Linked DNA regions of Xenopus tropicalis. The protein of the gene in region 5 interacts with the protein of the main gene of each other region in a pairwise test. Links are inferred from orthologs where the notes say so. Each region holds a gene or a part of one and is shown on either strand. Other genes may lie near its edges. The genes, in order: gpank1, tbc1d22b, klhl42, gpkow, trim23 and phf1.

Region 1 (4,214 bases), on a different chromosome or scaffold from region 5:
TGTTATATTTTTATTGGATGCATTGAGATCTTTTTTATTACTGCACTCTCCATTCTCCCAAAAATCCGATTTGTCCCGGGCTTTTGTAAAAGTAATAAGCTGAAGATGATTCATTTTTTTCTGCCAAAGAAGAATATATAAATATGTTAAAATATATTAAATGTAACAATTTTTATGTGATTTCTGAAGGCCTAATTAAATTAATATAATTAAATTAGATCACTTAAAAGACAGCCCATGATCATTTTGTAATACTTTACTATATGCTTCTAGCATACCTTATGTTAAAACGCTGCATAACATTTGCAGCACAACAGAATTCATTAATATCGGAGTTTATCAACCTGCAACCTTGAATGCTCAAACATGCAACACAATGAAAACTTAAGGGCTGCATATAGGGCATTTGGGTTTGAGGGACAAGGCACACACAAGTAAGAATCAGATTAAAACTACCCATTCTTAGTTCGATTTTCACAATAAAAAGTAACTTTGCTGACTTGCATAAGGTATTGCTATTAAAAGAGAAAATTTAAGATGTGTCTTTAAAGGAGAAGGAAAGGTAAAAACTAAGTAAGCTTTATCAGAAAGGTCTATGTAAATACAGCCATAAGCACTCACAGAAACATCTGCACTGAGTTCTCTGTCAAAAGAAACAGGATTTGTTGTCTCTTTGTTTTCCTGTGCTAGAGACACGCAGCTCTCTCCTGCTCCCCCCACCCACAAGAATGTGTGATCTGAGACAATCAGCAGGAAGCTTCCTCATAGTCTTACACACTGAGCATGTACGCTGGTCTTGGTGCAGGAGCGAGGCATTATGGGAATTTTGTTTACAGAGCTCAGAATTTTTTTTTTTCCCTATGAAGCTTCTGATCATCTGAACAGGAGAAATATGGGAAGACTTAAGGGCACTATTGAGAGAACTGAAGGTATGCCTGCAGCTTTTTTTAGCCTTTCCTTCTCCTTTAAATAAACTGTGACTTAAGGTGGCCATACACGTTACAATAACAATCTTTCCTGCTACCAGTGGTTGCTGGAAAGATCGTTAGTCCACTCCACTAACATTAAGAGCTGAATTGTCAGATATGCAGGTAGAAACAATAGAATTATAATATACAGTTTGGTCAGTTCCCTATGGGACCAAACTGTAAATTATATCCATATAAATGGTGCTTAGTGATGTCATCAGTTATAATCAGAGCTAAGTGATGTAATTTCTGGCACATGACTCACTAAAACTTGTATATTATAATACAGTACCCCCTCTTGTAAAATATGAGGATATTAGAAGTCACCTCAGCGTTCCATGACCTGTATAAAAGCACTCGGCTTTGACCTTGTGCTTTTATATTGTCATGGAACTCTTTGGTGACATATAATACCCCTATATTTTACAATAGGGGGTACTTTATTCACTATCTATCCCTATCTGACAATTCAGAATTAACCTACCTTCAAAGGCATCCAATCAGAATTTCCTATCCTTGCCCACTGACAAGAAGACCAATATCCAAGGCTTTTGCCAAAATCGTTTACCTCATCAAACCCAACTTACATGCACTGAATATCGTACTAAACCTTGTTTCTGACTGACAAAAGAAATAACTGGACCAGCACTCTCTTATGTGTAAATAAACCTGTGTGAATGTATTTCTTTACAACCCTATGCCCAACATTTCTGTCCTCATTTGGATCTTTCTTAATTATCCTTGAGAACAAGAGTTATTGGATGTACAGCATGAAAGTTATTTCCGATCATAACCACTCCGACTGGGTGTTTCTGCACAGGCAGAGAAACAGCCTAGCGTGATATTAGCTTTAGGGCTGAATGTGTGGAACAACAGAAAGTTGGTTATACTATGTATGGTGCCTCATATATTATAAGTGACCTACAGCACTTATATTTGCCTATTTGTGTCTGTAAGTTACCCTACCATATAGATTGTAAGCTCTACGGGGCAGGGACCTCCTTCCTCTTGTGTCCTCGACTCTTAACTTATTGCAGCTGTATTTATCTGTATTTATTGTTTTACTTTGTATTTATCTATTATTATCTTATTAACACCCTGTTTGTATTAATGTATTCTACTGAACAGCGCTGCGTACATAAGTAGCGCTTTATAAATAAAGATATACATACATCATTATAAGCCTGTGTAAGAGCAGCTTGTTAGACGTCATACTGCGGACAAGCCCTCATGTCGTAGCACACCATTTTAATAAAGGTGGCCATATGGAGCAGATTTTAGCTGATTCAGCTTCTTCAGTCTGAGCCGCAACTTATGTACCAGTCTATGGGGCCCGCCAACAGGCTGACCTGATTTTTGGTCAGATATTGATTGGACAAGTTTAAAAATCTCATCTGGTTAATGACTGCATTGGCTCGTTGCTGCTGACCACATTGGCTTGCTGTGATCAACCTCAAGGTGGACAATATCAAAGATCCACTCATTTAGCAACCTTACTAAACGAGTGGATCTTTCAATGTACGGCCAGCTTTACCTACTAGATAGGACTGTGTCCTCCCTCTGAAGGTTACGTTAGAAATGAAATTAAACTGCAGTTTTCTTAACAAAACTAATATGGTTTTATTCAGTGCAATTGATATATTCATCTAAAATACTCTTCAGCTAGAGAGAAAGTAATTCTTATTGCCCATGGCCTGTTGTAAAAATACAGAAATCTTCCTGGGTATAAGAATGCTGAAGGGAAACATACACTCACATACCGACGTAGCCCACTTTTCTTAACACAGGACGCACTTCTAAATGGCTGCTAAATGTCCCACAACGCCATTCAAATATCCAGCTCCTCGGTTCCGGCAAACCTGCTCTCCCAGAGATACCTCACACTCTCGCGAGATGAGACTGTGACGCCACAACTGGAGCGTATGGGAGCGTCAGTGCGTAAGCGTCACTTGTGCTAAACAACGTTCAGTGGTTCTGTGTTACAGTAGAGCACGTTGCTGGTACGCTGCCTCAGCAGCTAGTAACGCGCGGTTATGTATGCCAGGGCAGCCATATATCTGCTCACAGTTTGTTTTAGCTGCACGCCCCGCCTGCTTTTGTCAAGAAACACAAAAATAAAAACATTTTTTAATATTGTTGTAATTACCTGCAGTGTCTTCTGCAAGCAGAGCCTTCGTTATCAATGTTTGATCGGAAATAGTTCTATCTCTTGTGCCAGGGAGCAAAGTAATAACACGTTATTGGTGGTCTACAGCAGCCGAATGCAGACAGATTTCACATGCACGTTTAAATGTCTTGTCTTTTGTGTTTAGGTGCCCATGCACCCAGCTAGAAGGGCTGAAACTGCGCAGTAAGCAGTCCGACATCGTCAGAGCCCTCCCAATACATGTTAGAGCAGGGAAAAAGCACTAAGCACTATTTATTTTTGTTCTTTAAATGGCAGATATATTACTCTGCCCCAGACAACTGTACAGCTAGCTGGAGGAAAGGTTGTGCATGCAGGACCAGAGAAAATGTCAGCACCGATTATGTTTTCACTAAATTTATGAAAAGAGAATTGTGAAAAATGTTAAAGTGCACTTTAAAGCATTTAAAGCAATGTAAGCTCCAAATGTCCTTGGTTGCCTGTAATTACACTACTGGCATTGAGCTACTGTGGCACCTACCATGGCCAGGATCTTTATGCCACAATATATGTGTTGTTTTAGGGAAATGGGTTCCAAGAAAGCCTTCGCTGTACCTGTAAATATTTGTCCACGTAAAAGGCTGAATCCAATTCATAAAAGTAGGAGAGACAGGTATTTGCAGACATTTAAACTGCAACTTATTCACATTATATGTTGTTTTTTTCTAGGATGAAGTTAGTAAATACAAGCTGTGTCACCTTGCTATGCAGGGAGTAGGTTTATACAGTATGTACATTGTGTAAATGGTTCCCAGAGGAATTGCACTGTTCATGCATTAAACCTACACAGGCGTCACACTGGTGGTGGCAATCCAAGATGGTGAATGCAAAGTTGTAGGGAAAGGAAAAGTGCTGGTACTGTATGAAAGATGTTGCATGAAAACTATAGGGGCTTGGGGCTATATACACGAACAAAAGAAATGTCAGCTCATCTGGAATTTTTTACGCCAATTCGTGCAGTAATGGCCCAGTCACCTGATGTCAGTTATTTGCACTGGAATCTTTTTCTTACCCCACTATTAAACAGCATGGAAGTTGCACCTGAAGTCTTTAGAAGCAGC
Region 2 (2,934 bases), on a different chromosome or scaffold from region 5:
GAGAAAACAGCACCAGCCTGGGGTACCTGTCGAGAGTGCTTCCCCTTCCTACTCGCACTGCAGCCAATTGTCCCGGACAAACGCATGCGCAGTAGAGTGAAAAGCCGACTTCTCTGTTCAAAGTTCGGCATATCACTCTGACATTTCCAACATTTTTTTATTTTGTGTGTTAATTTGATTGCTTTGCAAACAGTTTATCCAATATTATTATTTATTTTCAGGGTCTGCTTATGTTGCTGCAGAATTTGCCAACTATCCACTGGGGAAATGAAGAAATTGGACTCCTCCTTGCAGAAGCATACAGATTAAAATACATGTTTGCTGATGCTCCCAACCATTACCGTCGGTAGATGCCAAATCACTGTGCCCTTATACTCCAAAAAAAAAAAGCACTCTTTTTCTTTAAATTTTGATAGATCCACGTGCCAGTCACTCCTAGATGCTAATCAGCACATACGTACTTAGCAATCCAGTCACCATCATACTGCATAAACACACTATAAACCACATCTGTAAAAAATTCAGGGTTAATAGTATGTAACACTGCATAAACTCATCATTGTTCGGCAAATTCGCATATCTGCTGTGCAGTGCGCAGATGGTACTGTTCTACATGCAGATTTTGCCATGTATTTAAAAAGACATCACTTTGCATTATCCTTGGCACGGTATAAGTCCTAGAGTAAGTATGTGTATATAAATCGGTCTTTATATGTATATGGACAAAGGTGTACAATATTGGGATTTATTGTGTGTAAAATGTGGTTCAGTTTATCCTCTTAAGCATGTGCTTACCTGTTCAACAACAGGTTGCAGTCTAGTTCATATTTTTAAATAATCAAAGGCTTTGTTCATCTTTAATAAAAGAATTTCAGCTTATCATTTGTTGAAATGTTTCTTTTTCTACCCTTTCCATCCAGGCTACTTGCCTGCTTATACCACGTGAAATATCAAAAATGTTCCTGTTATAAGGTTATCTGTAAAAAGAAAAAGTGACAGAAAAGTACTCCAAATATAAACACTTCATTGCTTTATTAATAATTTAAATGTGGCATTTAATTGATTAATGAACACACTACTATACCAAAAGGAGGCTTCCAACCTATATATATATATATATATATATATATATATATAATTAATTTGAGGGTTCGGGTTTACTCCGTTCAATTAGCCACACAACTCAGAAAACCTTTAAAAAAAATCTTCAAAAGAGTCAGGTCACTCACTGCTCCTTATCGGTGGTCTGGGTGCAGTGCCCCAGACCCGCAGCACACCAGGGCAGCGGTGAAGGCTATACAGCTTTATTCATAAATACATCCTAGGATGTATTTATGAATAAAGCTGTTTAACCTTCACCGCTGCCCTGGTGTCTGATTAAGTGCGTGCCACATGGTGGTTTGATTCGGCATTTTATTGATTAGCCTATATTTCCATTTACTATACAATTTAAGGCATTTTAAGGTTATGCCTTAGAGCCCTTACACTATGGGTTTTTTTCTGCCTGGTTGTACCCACAGGCCTTCATATATATGTTTTTTTAGTACAGGTGTCTTCATCTGTGTTTTTAAAACAACATTCTGCAATTTTATGCATTTGTAGCGAGTTTAAAATACATTAAAATAGAAGCATGCATGATGAACTCCAAGAAAAAACACTTGCATTAAATATTTCTAAATTACCTTGTTAAGTTACTGCTATTGCTGGTGTTTATTCCAGCATGCAAAGATATCGTGAAAGCAGCAATGTACAGTATAATCATCCCGAACAATGAAAAAAAACAACAAAGCAAAACTTGAGGAGTGCTAACTTTTATCTATATCAAACATTTCATACAGTATTGACTTGGGGGGTAGTGGATAGCAAAAGGTTAACAGAAAAGAAAGGTAACCATGTTGAAGACGGTACTAAAATAGGGTTTAACATTCATCTAGATGTTTTAAATTTTGTTAATTTGTAGGTCTTTTGATATATTTGAAGATTGTCTAATTTAGCTTTCACCATTTGTATAACTTGGGTACCTGATTTCCAAGCTTTTGCTATGAATTGTTTAGCAACAGAAAAGATGTGTGCTATACTTTTTATGTTAGGCTTTTCCTCAGTGATAAGCCTGCAACATTTGTTATACGAGCTGCTAAATTTAGGGAAGTCCCACGAAATATGCATAAAGCACCCATTTTTACTACACTTCCTAAAACATAGTGGGGAGAAAGTGTATAATATTTTCTCTTGCATCGCTTAGTATGCATTTCATTTGACATACCTTCAAATGCCAGTGTGTAATGGCTCTTACTGGGAAAATTAGACTTAAGTATCTTTATTGCATGAAATAAATTAAAGGTGGAAAAGCCGTGATTATTTAAATACAATTTCTTTTTGTAATGAACCTGCTATTGATTTTGACATTAAAGAATGAATCCATGATATATTTTTTTAAATGAGTCCTGTAAAAGATTTTGTATTTTGTTCTGTTGTAAATCCATTATATGGCAAATTATTTTGTTTTTTTCTTAATCCAACACTTTAATTTTCAAAATCTTGTGTGTGTTTTTTTTTTTTTTTTTTATGATAGAGAATCTGTGTGAATACCTTTTAGTAACTTCAAAAGTAAGTTAAAGGATTGCATGGTTCAAGGCACTGGCATTACTATAGAGAAACCCCTTGGCTGCAAAAGGGGACAGGGGGCCCTGGACTGTGAGGTCTGCCGTATAGAAATTCCCCTTCTCTAGGTGCCCCTATCTCAAAAGTTGTGCACCCCCAAGAGAGGAAAGGGAACAGGTAGGAGTTGCTGTGCGCACTGGGCCCTTCCGAAGATTTTTTGTGTGTGCGTGGTGCCATCTAGTTCAGCCAGTGGTTCAGGTCACTATGATAAACACTTAAATGGTTTTTTAATACAGAAAAAGGAAGAGTTCACACAAACAGAAAACGAGGGAT
Region 3 (4,117 bases), on a different chromosome or scaffold from region 5:
CCTGCAGCTCCCCACCCCAGCATCCTTCAGCTCCCCACCCCAGCATCCTCCAGCTCCCCCCAGCATCCTCCAGTTCCCCTCTGCATCCCACCCAGCATCCTCCAGCTCCACTCCCCAGCATCCTGCAGCTCCCCCCAGCATCCTCCAGCTCCCCCCCAGCATCCTCCAGCTCCACTCCCCAGCATCCTGCAGCTCCCCTCAGCATCCTCCAGCTCCCCCCAGCATCCTCCAGCTCCCCCCAGCATCCTCCAGCTCCACTCCCCAGCATCCTGCAGCTCCCCCCAGCATCCTCCAGCTCCCCCCCAGCATCCTTCAGCTCCCCCCAGCATCCTCCAGCTCCACTCCCCAGCATCCTGCAGCTCCCCCCCCAGCATCCTCCAGCTCCCCCCCAGCATCCTCCAGCTCCCCCCCAGCATCCTCCAGCTCCCCCCCAGCATTCTCCAGTTCCCCCCCAGCATCCTCCAGCTCCACTCCCCAGCATCCTGCAGCTCCCCCCAGCATCCTCCAGTTCCCCCCCCAGCATCCTGCAGCTCCCCCCAGCATCCTCCAGCTCCCCCCCAGCATCCTCCAGCTCCCCCCAGCATCCTCCAGTTCCCTCCCAGCATCCTCCAGCTCCCCCCAGCATCCTCCAGTTCCCCCCCAGCATCCTCCAGCTCCCCCCAGCATCCTCCAGTTCCCCCCCAGCATCCTCCAGCTTCCTTCCCAGCATTCTCCTCAACATCCTCCCAGGTAGGGAGGGCTGTTAATGTAAGTCATTTCTATTTGACGTTCCTAAACCTGAGTGTCCCCTCCCAGCCGGTCAGTTATAGCTCCTAATGCTAACCAATAATGGCTGCACAAATATGGCCGCCGCCGCCTCATAGAGGGACATGGAGACCAGATAGGTAATATAAATGCATTGGGCAAACACTTCTATGGGCAAATAAATAAATGTACAAACAGTGTCATGACAGTTGCAATAAAGGGTTTAATTTCTGGTGTCAGTATCTCTTTACGGCTTTTACAGCTAAAGTCTCTCAGTTGGGCGATAAAGGCTGAACTCCAACTACTATGTAATATCTGCTAGGGTTGCCTGTTCCCATGGGGATGGCGTCTGGCAGGGATATAGCCCTCCCATAGAGAATCCCAGCTGCACATATAAGGCCAGTGTTTATGGGGCATGGGGGGGAAAACACAATATGGGAAGGGGAGGGGCCTGTCTATGAAGCAGACGCTTCCATGAGGAGGTGCGTCTGGCAATGGGGGCGTGTCTTTGCGCGGCTTGTGGTTATAAGAGGGGCAGGAGGCGTGTCAAGTACGTGTTTGCGTATAAGTGGGCGTGGTCCCTGGCACGCAGGTGGAGGGGACTGGGTTTTTTACAAGCTTCTGCACATTCAGGAAGTGAAATGCCTGGATGGTCAGTTTGTATTGGGGCGTTCTCTCCATGTTGGGTAAACGGAAAGACTGGGCAAGGGGGGCAAGTGGGGGCAGCCAATGGGGCTAGAGCTGCTGGCACAATGAGCTGAATGGACAAGCTGCACAGATGGGATTCTCTCTCTTTCTGGACTTTCTTGTTACTCAGTTTGCTGAGCTGAAACGGGACCGGCTGATGGGTGGGGAATCCAGGTCCATTCTCTAGTTGGGCAACTGTTCCTGATTGGAGGGTGTTGCTTCTGGGCTGTTATTTTTGGAGTATTTTTCCAAGAGATTCCTTAATTGTCATGGGTGGGGGGTGTAAGGAACATTGGGCATTTCCTTTATTGGTTCTCTGCCTGATATTCTTATGCCCAGAGTGGGTGCTTGGTGCCCAAGGTTCTTGTAGGTATGGGTGTTTGATGCCCTGATTAGGTGCCCAAAGTTCTTGTAGGTATGGGTGTTTGATGCCCTGATTGGGTGCCCAAGGTTCTTGTAGGTATGGGTGTTTGATGCCCTGATTGGGTGCCCAAGGTTCTTGTAGGTATGGGTGTTTGATGCCCTGATTAGGTGCCCAAGGTTCTTGTAGGTATGGGTGTTTGATGCCCTGATTAGGTGCCCAAGGTTCTTGTAGATATGAGAGTTTGATGCCCTGATTAGGTGCCCAAGGTTCTTGTAGAAACAAGGGTTTGATGCCCTGATTAGGTGCCCAAGGTTCTTGTAGGTATGGGTGTTTGATGCCCTGATTAGGTGCCCAAGGATCTTGTAGGTATGGGTGTTTGATGCCCTGATTAGGTGCCCAAGGTTCTTGTAGAAACAAGGGTTTGATGCCCTGATTAGGTGCCCAAGGATCTTGTAGATATGGGTGCTTGATGCCCTGATTAGGTGCCCAAGGTTCTTGTAGATATGAGAGTTTGATGCCCTGATTAGGTGCCCAAGGATCTTGTAGATATGGGTGCTTGATGCCCTGATTAGGTGCCCAAGGTTCTTGTAGATATGAGGGTTTGATGCCCTGATTAGGTGCCCAAGGTTCTTGTAGGTATGGGTGTTTGATGCCCTGATTAGGTGCCCAAGGTTCTTGCAGATATGAGAGTTTGATGCCCTGATTAGGTGCCCAAGGTTCTTGTAGCTATGCGGTGCACAAATAGTGTGATGTTTTTATGTTGGTAGATCCCTTTTCTGGTTCCATTTCTGGGTTCTTGAAGGCATCATGCATGTATAAGTGATGTCCTCTGTAGAAACAGTTCAGATACTGTTGGGTTCTAGGTGTTACTCTGTACCTAGGGAACAGCTGGTGGCTCAGAGTGGTTTCTTCCAGTCACTGTTCCGGTCGGGCATGAGGGAAAGTCATGGGGAACCAGTGACTCTGCATGGGCTGACCCCTGAGGGCCTGGAAGGGGTTCTCCGCCACATCACTGGGGGTTCCCTTCTAGAAGCTCAGGGGGGTTCCGAGTTTGGTTTCCAGGTTGTTTCCTTGGAAGATCCAGAACGTTGCTCACTGGAGGATGAATCAACATGCGGCCTGGAGTCATCGGGCCCTTTACAGGCTGTGGTGGAAGCCGCATCCTACCTACAGGTCCAAGGTCTTCTGTCTCTCCTGCAGTCCTCCATGTCCCTGGACACGTGTCTGGATATCCTGGAGGTGGCGCAGTTGCATGGCCAGTGGGATTTGGCTTCGGCAGCTCTACATTTCATGGCTGCTCATTACCTTTCTATGTTGAGGAGGGAAGACTTCCAGCAGAGCCCAAGGTCCCTCAGAACTCGTGTCCTGGAAGAGAGGCTGAGAGGAACCCCAGCCCTTATGGTCCTGTCCCAACAGGGCCCTGACAACTGGGTGCTACTAAGGTACCTGGAAGGGGGAGGCGGTTGGCAAGTCATGACCGGAGAGGTCCCACAGAGTATGCTGAGGGTGCAAGGCTATGGGGCTACCACACTCCATAACTACCTGTTTGTGGCTGGAGGTAGGAGGGACAATGGGCAAGAGATCAGTGCCGTGCACTCGTACAACCCGAGCAACGGGTGCTGGACCCAGGAGCCCTCCATGAACCAAAAGAGGTAATCAGGTGGGGAATATTGTTTTCCTTAGTCACTTTGCTTTTCTGTTCTGGTTCTGTCCTATGAAGCTATGGCCACTGAGGAGCCCAGGATGCCAGTCTTTTATTCAGACAATTGCCTGGTTGCTTGGTCAGTGACCCTAGCAACCCCTAACTAGTTTAAAGTCTTATTTTACAGGTTATCTTCAAATCTGTCATTCACACCGCTTCCTGATTGCTAGGGGGAAATATACTGCTTGTGTTTGAGTAGCATTAGCTGTGGTGACTAGTGGACCAGGGCATTTTGACTGCTGGTGTTTTTCACCTGTGAAGCTACCGCAGGCCTTCGATTTCTGTGCACAAAATAAAATATTTTGTGGTTTACTTCCCCTTTACATACCAGGTGCAAGGTTCCACTCCAAGTTCTAAACTTGGATGAACTCATATAATAAAATAAATTTATATCCTGAGTCCTGTATTGAGAATCTAAGCACACCTTCTATTTTATCATCTATAGGAACCATATTAATTCCCCTTGTTATTGAACTACAACTCCCATCATCCTGTCAAACTGACATGCAAGGGAAATAGCAAGGTGCTGAATTGTGCTTAGTACAGGGGAATCCCTATGTGCCATAGTTTTATGGTATCTCTCTGTACAGGCTATGAGCAAACTTAGGGGGCTGTTCATG
Region 4 (3,504 bases), on a different chromosome or scaffold from region 5:
GTCCTCCATGTGTTCTCATCTAATTTATATCAAATTTTTGCCCTAAACAGCGCAAACCCTACTCCAGAAGCCAAGGAGCTAGTTATTCCCCTCATACACAAAAATAGGTGGTCCAAGCCGAACAAGAAAAAGGACAATGAGGAAGATGCAGTTCCAGGAACAGAAGAAGAGGCCGTGCTGTCACAGGCTGTAAAAGAGTTGATAGAGGGTAAATGGCTAGTTTTGTTTCTATTGCAACCCTGTAACTCATTTCTTCTCCATTTTATCTTACACTTTTCTGTTTCTTTTTAGAATCCCGGCGCACCCTAGAGGATAATTCAGAGACAGATCAAACTTTGAGCATCCCACTGCTTATGCAGAACAGAATTCCTGATGGTTACGAAGATGGAGAGAAGGTGGATGTTAGCTTACGCCCAGATTCTGTGAGTATTATTATCATTCGTGATAACACTGGCTATATTCACCATTTAAAGGGGTAGTTTAGCATATAGGTAAATTTTAGTGTGTTTTTCTGCCAATTTACAGCTTGCAATATAGCTTGCTACCTGGTTGTTAGGGGGTCACCACCCGGCAGCTCTGTGAGGCTACAGTTTTATTATTATTATTATTATTATTGTTGTTGTTGTTACTTTTTATTACTTATCTTTCTGCTCACACCTTCTGCTATTCCAGTCTTTTACTCTTCCAGTTTGTTATTATGTAACTTTTAAAAATTTCTTATTTGATAGTGCTCATATTAGTATGCAGGATAAGTCTTTTTATTGACTCCATCACCTAAGGATGCTATAGGGTCCTTTTAGACAGGATGGAACAAAGCCCCATTAATTCCTTCCATAATGTTACATATGTAAAATGTTCCAAGGCTTTTAATATATATTACACTTGAAATCTCACATGTAAACCAGATGTAATATAGTTCTCTTCTCCTGTCTTGTGTCTGCATTTGTATTTCAGGCGGAGGCTGCAGACTATGATGCAGTGCCTGTGGAGTATTATGGGATGGCGATGCTGAGAGGAATGGGATGGAAGGAAGGAGAGGGCATTGGACGCACATTTAAGCAGTAAGTACTATAGACCAGTGACAGAACAGTTTGTGAGACCAGTGTACTTCTTGTATTTACAGGTTTATATAGTTTGTGTTTAGTTATAGGATCATCAGCTCACTCACTGCTGTCTAGTATATCTCTGAGCCGAGACTTGCTAAGGAACCTTTCAGTTGTGACAGTATAGCTAACTGCCCTCTGATTAATAACGCCAGAATTCACGGAAGGCTCACTGGCAGAATAAGAATGTACATAGGGTGCTTAGAGTGAGATGAGGGAAGCTACGATGCAAGAACAGGCAAGGGAAGGAGTGGATGGAAAAGGAATGACGCACAGTTATCAAGGGGAAAATGCATGGTGGATAAACAGTACACTCATCTATAAGTCGGTTCCTTCCTGCACTTCCATCTAAGAAACATGTTTAAGGAAAAATACAATCGTGTTTTATGGTAAATGAAGAGGATCATGCTAGCTTTTCCTTGGATAAAAGCAGATAATTAGCATGTATGTACAGTCTGAAATTAGGATTATATTTTCCCTGTGGTGAGCTCTAATCTCACATTTAAAAAAAAAAATCTCCCTAAGACACCTCTGCCATTTGATTTGGTATGCATTTGTATTTATATTTTTTTGCTTTTTGCACCCAATAAATGTTCATATGTGTTTGGTATTCTAATTGTGATATATTCAAGGCATTAGAAGTAGTCCACCCATATAAGTGAATGCTTTCCCATATCTTTACATTTGAGAATGTGGACGTTACATAAATGCTTAATAATAAAGACATAAAATAGTATTGCCAATTGTGTGCCCCCAGGGATGTAAAGCCATTAGAGCAGAAATTGCGCCCTAAAGGGCTGGGACTCGGTGCAGATCGGTCTGCTCTAAAGGATCTGGAGCCACAGAAACCGCGGAAACCATTAAAACCTGGGGAGAAACTGGAAGAAGAGTCAAGAGGTCTTGGCAAAGGGAGTTCAGTACAGATACAGAGTGGAGCTCACAAAGACCTGTATGGGAAGGTAAGTCTGAATTTATTTTGTCATATATGCTGTCCTTACAATCCAGGGTAGTGATGTGCAGGTTGAAAAATTTTTAACCCAACCAAGAAACACTCCTCATGAACCTGTCTCAGCTTATCGCTGGTCCCATGGGGTTTGGCCCAACCTACACATCCTAATCCAGGGTATAACATGTAGCAGTGGTAAACCCAGCCACGTCATCAGTTTTCCTAGTTTAGTATGTTTCCTGTTTAGTTACTGATGTCTTTATCATTGTTCTCAGGTAGAGGGCGTTGACCCAGACAATTCCAGGGCAATGATCAAGCTTGCCATTGGTGGAAAGGTGGTTACAGTGTCTCTGTTTTCCTTGCGATTGGTCAGCAGCGCAGAATATACAAAGTTTGCAAAGGATCTGAGTGAGTGTAACTGCAACAAAGTATGCTGTACAATTTCCAAGTAATAATCTGTCATTGGGTGTGTGTACATTATTCAGATGTTATAGTTATATTATTTGAAAGTTAAATTGAGGGATGTTACTATGCACGTGCCTTTACCTTTATACCGCTATATGAATGCAGATTATTTCTAGGCATCCCATGCATTGATTATTTAGTGTTATAATCTTCAATCAAGATGTAAACATTGATATTGCATGTGGTCTTGTATGTTATGTTGGAGGCAGTCATTTTGTTTGCACCTCCTGAAGTACACTACCTCCTATGGCAATATGCATGCTAGTGTCACATAGTGGAAACTAAGTGAATTGAATCAGAGCAGTCATATTGGTTACTCTTAAGTGTTTTTGTTTTTTTAAACTGCTTTTATTGTATTGAAAACAAAGAGTATGTATTAGTAAATGCCACTATTATAGAGAGCAATCAAAATTAACTCTTCACATATTAATTACTGTGGGAAGTGACTAAGTACCACCAATAAGTGCCATTCCATTCCATTATAAATAAAGATATACATTCCCCCTTGTGACCTAAGACCTAAAATTTCATCACTTTATTGAGAATTTTACAAAAATGCAGTTTTTTTTTGCATTTTTCATGCCTTTGCTCGTCTTTGTATGGTTTCCTTGTATTTGTTAGTCTCACCCTCCTGCTAATAAGATCATTATTTTATGCTGCGATAAAGCATGCCCAACAATTCAAAGATTGTTTTCCTGCAAAAAGGAGCTGATTGTTTAGTTATTAAAATACATATTTACAGTACTGTATATAATTTTCACAAGAGTTGTGTAGTTTTAATTGGCAAAGAAAAAAAAAAGTGTGGCTTATCAGTGTTTGTGCAGACTCATGATCAGCCGGGCTGGCTATGGCTGATGGCTGTATCACCTAGCTTGCATACGTGGCTGCATTATAGTACCCACTGATTTCAAAGCTGCAGCCCCCCCAACTTTCACCTTATTACTGAATGTTTAGGGAGGATACAGGAGCTTTAGCTCAGTGACAGAGGGG
Region 5 (4,118 bases):
CTCCAGGAGTTCCAGTAATGCAAAATTTTTCTTTAAGCCCCACACACCAGAGTCTCCTGTATAAGAACAAGACATTTACACATTATTTAAACAAATAATAATCTTAATTTCTTACTGTTCAGCTTCTCTGCAATTATAAGACAATGCCTAGTACTTGATGGCAATGAAGGTAGCTTATTGTATCCAAACTGGCATCAAAACAATATATATATTTTTTAAATATGTCAATGCTTATTTAACAGTCTTAAGGCATGATGATCCAAATTAAAGAAAAAAACCTAATCCCATACCAAAGGAATAATTCATTAAATAAAACAAATGGTTTTTAACATTTTGGAACAGAATAAAGGAGAGATTCTCAAAAGATGGGCTGTTCCCAGAGTTTCTAAAGCACACCCAGACTGGCAATCTGTGGATTCTGGCAAATGCCAGAGGGGCAGCTGCCTATTATAAATCCCAGTCTGGGCCTGTTTGAGAGCAGTGGGTCACCCAGTATCTATTTGTTGCAAGAGAGAGCAGCTAGTGCAGAGCAACTTGAAGCAAATGGGAAGCAATCTGCAGCAGGTAACAGCTATCAAAATCCTTGTGTTATAGAGACCTTAAATACATTACATAATACTATTGCTTAGTAAAGTAAAAAATGAATTCTTTAATACCTAGTTCAGTAGCTTGTCTGTCAAATGGACAGCGTATGGCTCTGCCATGAAGAGGCAGGCGTGTTAGACAGTCATGGCACACAGTATGGCCGCAAAGCAGCAAACGTGGAACTTTATCTCCTTGCAGTGAAAAGACATCTTCACAGACACCACATTCCAGAACCTAGTGTTGATTAAACAATTGTGGAAAGGTTACATTGTGGAGAGACATTTAAATATATCAGTCTGAAAGTTACGAGGATGCAACCATGTTGCTGGATGTATCATTTGCTTGCTAAAGATCAGGCTGGGGACCACTGCTCCTCCTGAACAGCCCAGGAAAGCTGCCTGTGGAAGTGGAAAGGCTGGGTGGTGCTAATAAGGTTTAAGATAAATTAAAGCAGCATTTTCTCTTAAAATGATACAGTGCTATGTATCCTTGCAGCAATATAAAAATAAAGTTATAAATACATACAATAGGCTTATTGCCTTTGCAGATGTGGGTATGGAATATCAATAGCTGCCATTGGGTATTATCCATATGCTTCCTACATCTAGCTGACTTTGCATGCTGGGAGTTGTAGTTCATTGGGAGTTAAAACGCATAGGAAAGTTGAAAGACAACCCTGTATAGGACATTTACACTTATCCATACAGCCAGGGCTGGAGTTAAAGGGGGGTGGGTAGCTTGCAATGCAGAAAGCCTGGAGTCTGATGAAGGGGATTAATATATGTATATATAATATATTAGGGATGTTTAACCTGCAGCCCTCCAGTTGTTGTTCTGCTAGAACTCTCAATAGCCCTACTAGCCAATGTATGGAGGTGCAGTACAACAAGAACAAAGAGCTCTAAGGCTGCCCATAGCTAATGTCAGTGGCATAACTAGAGGTGTCTGGGCCCCACAGCAAATTCATATTACCCCCCCCCCCCCCCCCTAAAGTTTAAGAGTTATTGTACATAAGTATATACTGGAATTGCTTATCACTCAGTGTCTGGGCCCCACAGCAAATTCATATTACCCCCCCCTAAAGTTTAAGAGTTATTGTACATAAGTATATACTGGAATTGCTTATCACTCAGTGTCTGGGCCCCGCAGCAAATTCATATTACCCCCCCCCCCCCTAAAGTTTAAGAGTTATTGTACATAAGTATATACTGGAATTGCTTATCACTCAGTGTCTGGGCCCCGCAGCAAATTCATATTACCCCCCCCCCCCCTAAAGTTTAAGAGTTATTGTACATAAGTATATACTGGAATTGCTTATCACTCAGTGTCTGGGCCCCGCAGCAAATTCATATTACCCCCCCCCCCCCTAAAGTTTAAGAGTTATTGTACATAAGTATATACTGGAATTGCTTATCACTCAGTGTCTGGGCCCCGCAGCTTCCTCTCTAGCACAATATAATAGGCCCTTTCTGCTTTGTTTCCCCCTAGGAGTATCCCATCTCCGAAACTGCCCTTTCCCCTAAAGCCTCCCTGCACTCTGCAACGAAATGATGTAGGAAGGAGAATGCATATAGCCAGACGCAGGGGGGCCCTCCTGCAGGGATAAACCAGGGCCCAAACTACACGGCATACACTTCTCCCGTAACCCTGCTCTAGTATCACCTTTACTGCTCCCCCCGGACCGGTCCGGCTCTGCCGTCCGCTGCCCTCCATTCTTCCAGGGCCGCCGTGTCTGTTTACAGCGACAGCCATGTTGACAGCTGGACCGTACCACTTCGGGTAGAGGGTTGAGAAATCATGTGAATCCTGGTGTTGAAAATGGCATTATTTAAGAATAAACCCTGTTTTAAAAAACAATGAATATATCTACTTAGGTTCATAACAGTAGCAATCTGAGAAGTCTAATCCGTATGACACCACCGACTGAGCAAAAGGCTTTTAAAACTATTACTAGCGAAACCGCAAAGTGGTTTCACCCAATAGCTATAACCCAACTCAGTCTCTTGCCTCAGAAAAATGGGAGCTAACGCTATAAGGCGCCATCTTAAACATTGGCAAACGTGCCCTCATATTTTTCCCCTGAAACAAAAACAAAATGATAGATAGCAGAGACGGCGATTCTGTGGTTCTGCAGCTTTTGTCGAAATAAAAGTTTTGCAGGGCTCTGTTGCAATGTGAATAATAGAACTGAGAAGCGGAAAAAGCCTCTGCGCATGCGCATTTTGTTTTACTAGAACTGGCCCTTTCGTCTTCCCGTACAGGCAGTTCCGGGTGTGTGTAGGGGTGGTGACGGCGGTTCTGGCACCATGGACGTCAATCAGCCCAAGCAGGAACATTTGTTGGCCCTGAAAGGTATCAGTGTGAGGCTGTGGTGTGTGTTCTCTGCGCCCTGACTGGGGAGTCAGCCCGGCCTGCCCCAAGCTGTAGCACAGGAGCCAGAGCTTTCCTGCACTGGCCATTCCCATAGGTGTCCTGGCCCACTCACTTCTGTTCCAGAGTACATAGACTATGCACCTAAGCAAGAGGCTGCCCTGCCTTGCCCTGTCATTTCTAGTTACTTCCATCCCTTGCCATTATGGTAGCCACATTGAGTGATCTTCTTAACCATTGATGCTACAGTAACCCCATGGCAGCGCAGTTAGTGCAAATGATTATTCTGCAAAGCAGCAGTTACTCAGATTGTCTGCCATAGCTGAGTGGCCCCCTCCTGCTTATGCTTGCGTTTGGAGCAGGTTGGGGGCCCATAGGACACAAAGAAAGTGCATGGAATTAACCAATTGGGCATGATCTCATTGGTGGGCTCCACAACGGTTACAATACATTTTTGTATGATTATCCTCAAGCAGGGGAACTAAAATACAATAATGCTGGAAATACAGAAAAACTCTGTGCTGACTAATAGACATGATAAATGATAGACATACCAACCTGTACCAACAGTGATGGGAAAGATAAACTGTAATCTCAACTAAACCAGGTTTTTATTAAGAATATATCATTAAGGAACATTTGTTCTAATTAAAAGTAAGTTAATAGCAAGGATGAGCTCATCCAGCTGACAAATATAAGGGTTCTACTATTTTTTGAGAGCAGCGTCATTCAAAAGTTACAGTAGATGTAATAAATAGCCCTGGTATCAGGTAGTAATTATTTAGGTCTTTTGGGGCTTTAAAACATTACACGGGGGCCAATTTATGCATATACGTGTAAGGGGTGCAACAAACAGCATTGTAAAGTGAACCTTGTGCAAGCAGAGCTGTGCAGCAAAACAAATTAATGGCACACACAATGCCAAATTAACTAACATTAATGGAACAGGCAGGTCAGTACAATGAAATATAATACAAAATACAGTTACATTCAGGATTAAGTGGTAGAGACGAGAGGAAAGAGATTTTCCCCATAGAATCTAGATAGGAGTTCTCTAATAATCAGACATTGATAGATGTAAAGCAAAACATTTTTTCCCATAAGTGCTTTAAGAAGATTTTTCTGATCAATTTAGTGGCTTGGAATATAAGCAATACAGTATG
Region 6 (3,504 bases), on a different chromosome or scaffold from region 5:
CACTACCACCACCATATTTTACTGTTGGTATGATGTTCTTTTTCTGAAATGCTGTGTTACTTTTACGCCAGATGTAACGGGACACGCACCTTCCAAAAAGTTCAACTTTTGTCTCGTCAGTCCACAAGGTATTTTCCCAAAAATCTTGGCAATCATTGAGATGTTTTTTAGCAAAATTGAGACGAGCCTTAATGTTCTTTTTGCTTAAAAGTGGTTTGCGCCGTTTTTGCCCAGTCTCTTTCTTATGGTGGAGTCGTGAACACTGCCCTTAATTGAGGCAAGTGAGGCCTGCAGTTCTTTAGATGTTGTCCTGGGGTCTTTTGTGGCCTCTCGGATGAGTTGTCTCTGCGCTCTTGGGGTAATTTTGGTCGGCCGGCCACTCCTGGGAAGGTTCACCACTGTTCCATGTTTTTGCCATTTGTGGATAATGGCTCTCACTGTGGTTCGCTGGAGTCCCAAAGCTTTAGAAATGGCTTTATAACCTTTACCAGACTGATAGATCTCAATTACTTTTGTTCTCATTTGTTCCTGAATTTCTTTGGATCTTGGCATGATGTGTAGCTTTTGAGGTGCTTTTGGTCTACTTCTCTGTGTCAGGTAGCTCCTATTTAAGTGATTTCTTGATTGAAACAGATGTGGCAGTAATCAGGCCTGGGGGTGACTACACAAATTGATATTGAAATTGAAAATTGAAATTGATAAACCACAGTTAAGTTATTTTTTAACAAGGGGGGCAATCACTTTTTCACACAGGGCCATGTAGATTTGGAGTTTTTTTTCTCCCTTAATAACGTAAACCTTCATTTAAAAACTGCATTTTGTGTTCAATTATGTTATCTTTGACTAATAGTTAACGGTTTTTGATGAGCAGAAACATTTAAGTGTGACAAAAATGCAAAAGAATAAGAAATCAGGAAGGGGGCAAATAGTTTTTCACACCACTGTATATTACTCATGCTCTATTCATTCATGCTTGTCATTTACTCTTACAGAATTTTTTTAAAATGTGATGGAGGGACGGGAGCCCTCAACCCGACCCAGTCGTACCACACCTGCCAGTCCCAGAGTGACCCCTGCTCTAGTGAAACGGCCACGCTTCCAGACACTGGCTCGTTTTTGGGAAGGTCAGGATGTCTTGGCACGGTGGACAGATGGACTGCTTTATTTGGGGATAATTAAAAAGGTGCACTTCTTTCATTATTAATGTTTTCAAACATAGGTTATTATGCAACTCCATTATAAAATAATCATAAATGGGCAATCCACTCCAAAAGAAAAGTACCAATGTTTTCTAAAGGAAGAAAATATGATTATAAGCAACCTCAAATTTTGCAATGATTTAAAAAAAACAAAAAGTATGTACAGGTATTTGATCCCTTATCAGGAAACCCATTATCCAGAAAGCTCCGAATTACTGAAAACCCATCTTCCACAGACTCCATTTTAATCAAATTATTCAGAATTTTAAAACTGATTTCCTTTTTCTCAGTAATAATAAAACAGTACCTTGTAATTGATCCCAACTAAGATATAATTAATCCTTATTGGATGCAAAACAATCTTATTGGGTTTAATTAATGGTTTATTGATTTTTTTAGTAGACTTAAGGTAAGGAGATCCAAATTACGGAAAGACCCCTTATCCGGAATACCCTTGGTCCCGAGAATTCTGGATAACAGGTTCTATACCTGTATATATATTTATTAGTAAATGTGATTACTGAAACAGTATCTTTCTTTCCCTTCGTTTTGTCACCAGTTATCATGTTTAGATGCATTAGACCAAAATGCGTTAGAACACTAGTTGTGATGTCACAGCAGTAATGTAGATTATAACATTCTGCTGCTAATATTCCATGCCCCATCGAAGAAAATATTGTTATTGCTTTTATACAAGACAAATGGGTTAAAGCAACTTATTCTTCAAGTACTCAAAGGATATAAGCACAGGAGTCAGTTTTACTTTAAAATACAATAGTTACTGTGTTAATGACAAGGGTCATGCATTGCAGCATTAAAGTTACACTATAGAACAGCATTTGCAAGAACTCTGTGGCATTCAGATGCACAACTTAAAGCAATAAGAGATTTGAGCATGACTGTATGAAGTGCAGACTAATTGGAATTGACTATACAGACAGTTCGTATTTTAAACCTCTTTATTTCACTAATAATAACATTCATAGAGGACAAATCCATTTTTGGGAACATTAGGACAACATTTGTGAAAATCAACCATTGAAATGCATTATAAATTGGTGGGACCACAAAAAGCAATGGAAAATACAGGAAAACTTAAAACCAGTACATAACAAAGTTATAGAAAACCCCAGGTACCAAGCAGTCTGCATAACAGGTCCCATAGTTGTACAATATCTTATCTCCCCTCGTATCCTTACGTAAACAATAAAACATTGTAATTATGAATCCCAGGGGTATTCTGTAAAGCTTAATCTTCAATATGTTTTGGATTACTAACACATGTAGCATGTAAACACCCAAAAATTAAACTCAGGGGCATAACTTGGTCACACTGGTCCACCATTCAGAAAAATCTTTTGAGAGGGCCTAGCACTACCAGTCCCTCCTCCCCCACCCACCCCTGACCCTGCCGCTTTATTTAAGGTAGGAGAGGGGCCAGGGAGGGGGGACTAAGGTACAGCAGATCTCACGTTCTGGGCCCCCCCCACGAGCTGGGTCTGCTGTATATATTGTAACACCATGGATTAAACAATTGCATACAGATTTATCTACTGCAGAACCAATGTACTGTCAGTATTTTATGTGTCAGAGACCCTAAAATAAGTTAAAACCATATATTTTTGAAAATTAGCAAAAGTAAGGGATGGGTACCCTATGTAGGGATTGGGTTTCTAATTTGTTAGGAATCCCCACTTTCAGGTGAAAATTAGATTTGGGCAAAGTAGACATGACTAGAAAGGGAGGAGGTATCCAATGGCCCCTTTTTGTTCCAGTGGGCCACTCCACCCTGAGGGGAGGCACTTTGAGGAAGGATTCTAAATGAAATTTCTTTTATTCTTTAAACTACCTTGCTCCACTCTTTAGATAGGCTAAGAGAGGAGGACTAGGCTAGGCTATGAAAGAGTGAGCAGATGGTCTTGATGGCTCCTGCCTATTTATAGTCAGCTAGAATGAGTAATTATACTATGAGTTTACATAATCTGTTTAGCCAGACCTTTCTTATGGCATGTGCTCTTATATCCAGACATATCACATCATTCCTTTTAGCAATGGCCTTTTACTAAACTGAAAACTTGTAAAGTAGAGCAACTGCAGAGCAACTTTAGCAGCAAAGGGGGCAGGCCTTCTCAACTTTTCATCCCTCTTCTGCAGGTAGACAGTGCTCAGGAGACTTGTCTTGTGCGCTTTGAAGATAATTCACAGTTTTCAGTACTTTGGAAGGACATTTTTCCTCGTAAGTATGAAACTACATAGAATTCAGAGTAAGTTTTTAAATGTAATTTAACCTGTTACCCTTATTTTT

The links.
Region 1: the proteins of trim23 (region 5) and gpank1 interact in binary tests that used the Homo sapiens proteins (3 or more experiments, as listed by UniProt). The link is inferred for Xenopus tropicalis from reciprocal best matches to the Homo sapiens genes TRIM23 and GPANK1.
Region 2: the proteins of trim23 (region 5) and tbc1d22b interact in binary tests that used the Homo sapiens proteins (3 or more experiments, as listed by UniProt). The link is inferred for Xenopus tropicalis from reciprocal best matches to the Homo sapiens genes TRIM23 and TBC1D22B.
Region 3: the proteins of trim23 (region 5) and klhl42 interact in binary tests that used the Homo sapiens proteins (3 or more experiments, as listed by UniProt). The two-hybrid records come from large-scale screens. The link is inferred for Xenopus tropicalis from reciprocal best matches to the Homo sapiens genes TRIM23 and KLHL42.
Region 4: the proteins of trim23 (region 5) and gpkow interact in binary tests that used the Homo sapiens proteins (3 or more experiments, as listed by UniProt). The two-hybrid records come from large-scale screens. The link is inferred for Xenopus tropicalis from reciprocal best matches to the Homo sapiens genes TRIM23 and GPKOW.
Region 6: the proteins of trim23 (region 5) and phf1 interact in binary tests that used the Homo sapiens proteins (3 or more experiments, as listed by UniProt). The two-hybrid records come from large-scale screens. The link is inferred for Xenopus tropicalis from reciprocal best matches to the Homo sapiens genes TRIM23 and PHF1.

What each region holds. Positions count from the first base shown.
Region 1 is NC_030684.2:74,607,845-74,612,058, forward strand, and holds the start of gpank1 (G patch domain and ankyrin repeat-containing protein 1), read right to left. Parts: upstream 2,803-4,214; 5' UTR 2,729-2,802; exon of another isoform or gene 2,719-2,728; intron 121-2,718; 5' UTR 115-120; coding exon 1-114.
Region 2 is NC_030678.2:65,104,595-65,107,528, reverse strand, and holds the end of tbc1d22b (TBC1 domain family member 22B), read left to right. Parts: intron 1-221; coding exon 222-350; 3' UTR 351-2,432; downstream 2,433-2,934. UniProt on the Homo sapiens protein: May act as a GTPase-activating protein for Rab family protein(s).
Region 3 is NC_030679.2:10,512,296-10,516,412, forward strand, and holds the start of klhl42 (kelch-like protein 42), read left to right. Parts: upstream 1-1,315; 5' UTR 1,316-1,801; exon of another isoform or gene 1,802-1,827; intron 1,828-1,846; 5' UTR 1,847-2,097; exon of another isoform or gene 2,098-2,277; 5' UTR 2,278-2,617; coding exon 2,618-3,447; intron 3,448-4,117. UniProt on the Homo sapiens protein: Substrate-specific adapter of a BCR (BTB-CUL3-RBX1) E3 ubiquitin-protein ligase complex required for mitotic progression and cytokinesis. The BCR(KLHL42) E3 ubiquitin ligase complex mediates the ubiquitination and subsequent degradation of KATNA1.
Region 4 is NC_030684.2:23,998,478-24,001,981, forward strand, and holds part of gpkow (G-patch domain and KOW motifs-containing protein), read left to right. Parts: intron 1-50; coding exon 51-208; intron 209-291; coding exon 292-422; intron 423-954; coding exon 955-1,061; intron 1,062-1,860; coding exon 1,861-2,062; intron 2,063-2,324; coding exon 2,325-2,457; coding exon of another isoform or gene 2,458-2,501; exon of another isoform or gene 2,502-3,025; intron 3,026-3,504. UniProt on the Homo sapiens protein: RNA-binding protein involved in pre-mRNA splicing. As a component of the minor spliceosome, involved in the splicing of U12-type introns in pre-mRNAs.
Region 5 is NC_030677.2:187,787,004-187,791,121, reverse strand, and holds the start of trim23 (E3 ubiquitin-protein ligase TRIM23), read right to left. Parts: upstream 2,804-4,118; 5' UTR 2,338-2,803; coding exon 2,248-2,337; intron 820-2,247; coding exon 657-819; intron 57-656; coding exon 1-56. Other genes in the region: trappc13 (trafficking protein particle complex subunit 13), read left to right, coding at 2,892-2,937.
Region 6 is NC_030684.2:71,991,529-71,995,032, reverse strand, and holds part of phf1 (PHD finger protein 1), read left to right. Parts: intron 1-992; 5' UTR 993-1,009; coding exon 1,010-1,183; intron 1,184-3,353; coding exon 3,354-3,435; intron 3,436-3,504. UniProt on the Homo sapiens protein: Polycomb group (PcG) that specifically binds histone H3 trimethylated at 'Lys-36' (H3K36me3) and recruits the PRC2 complex. Involved in DNA damage response and is recruited at double-strand breaks (DSBs).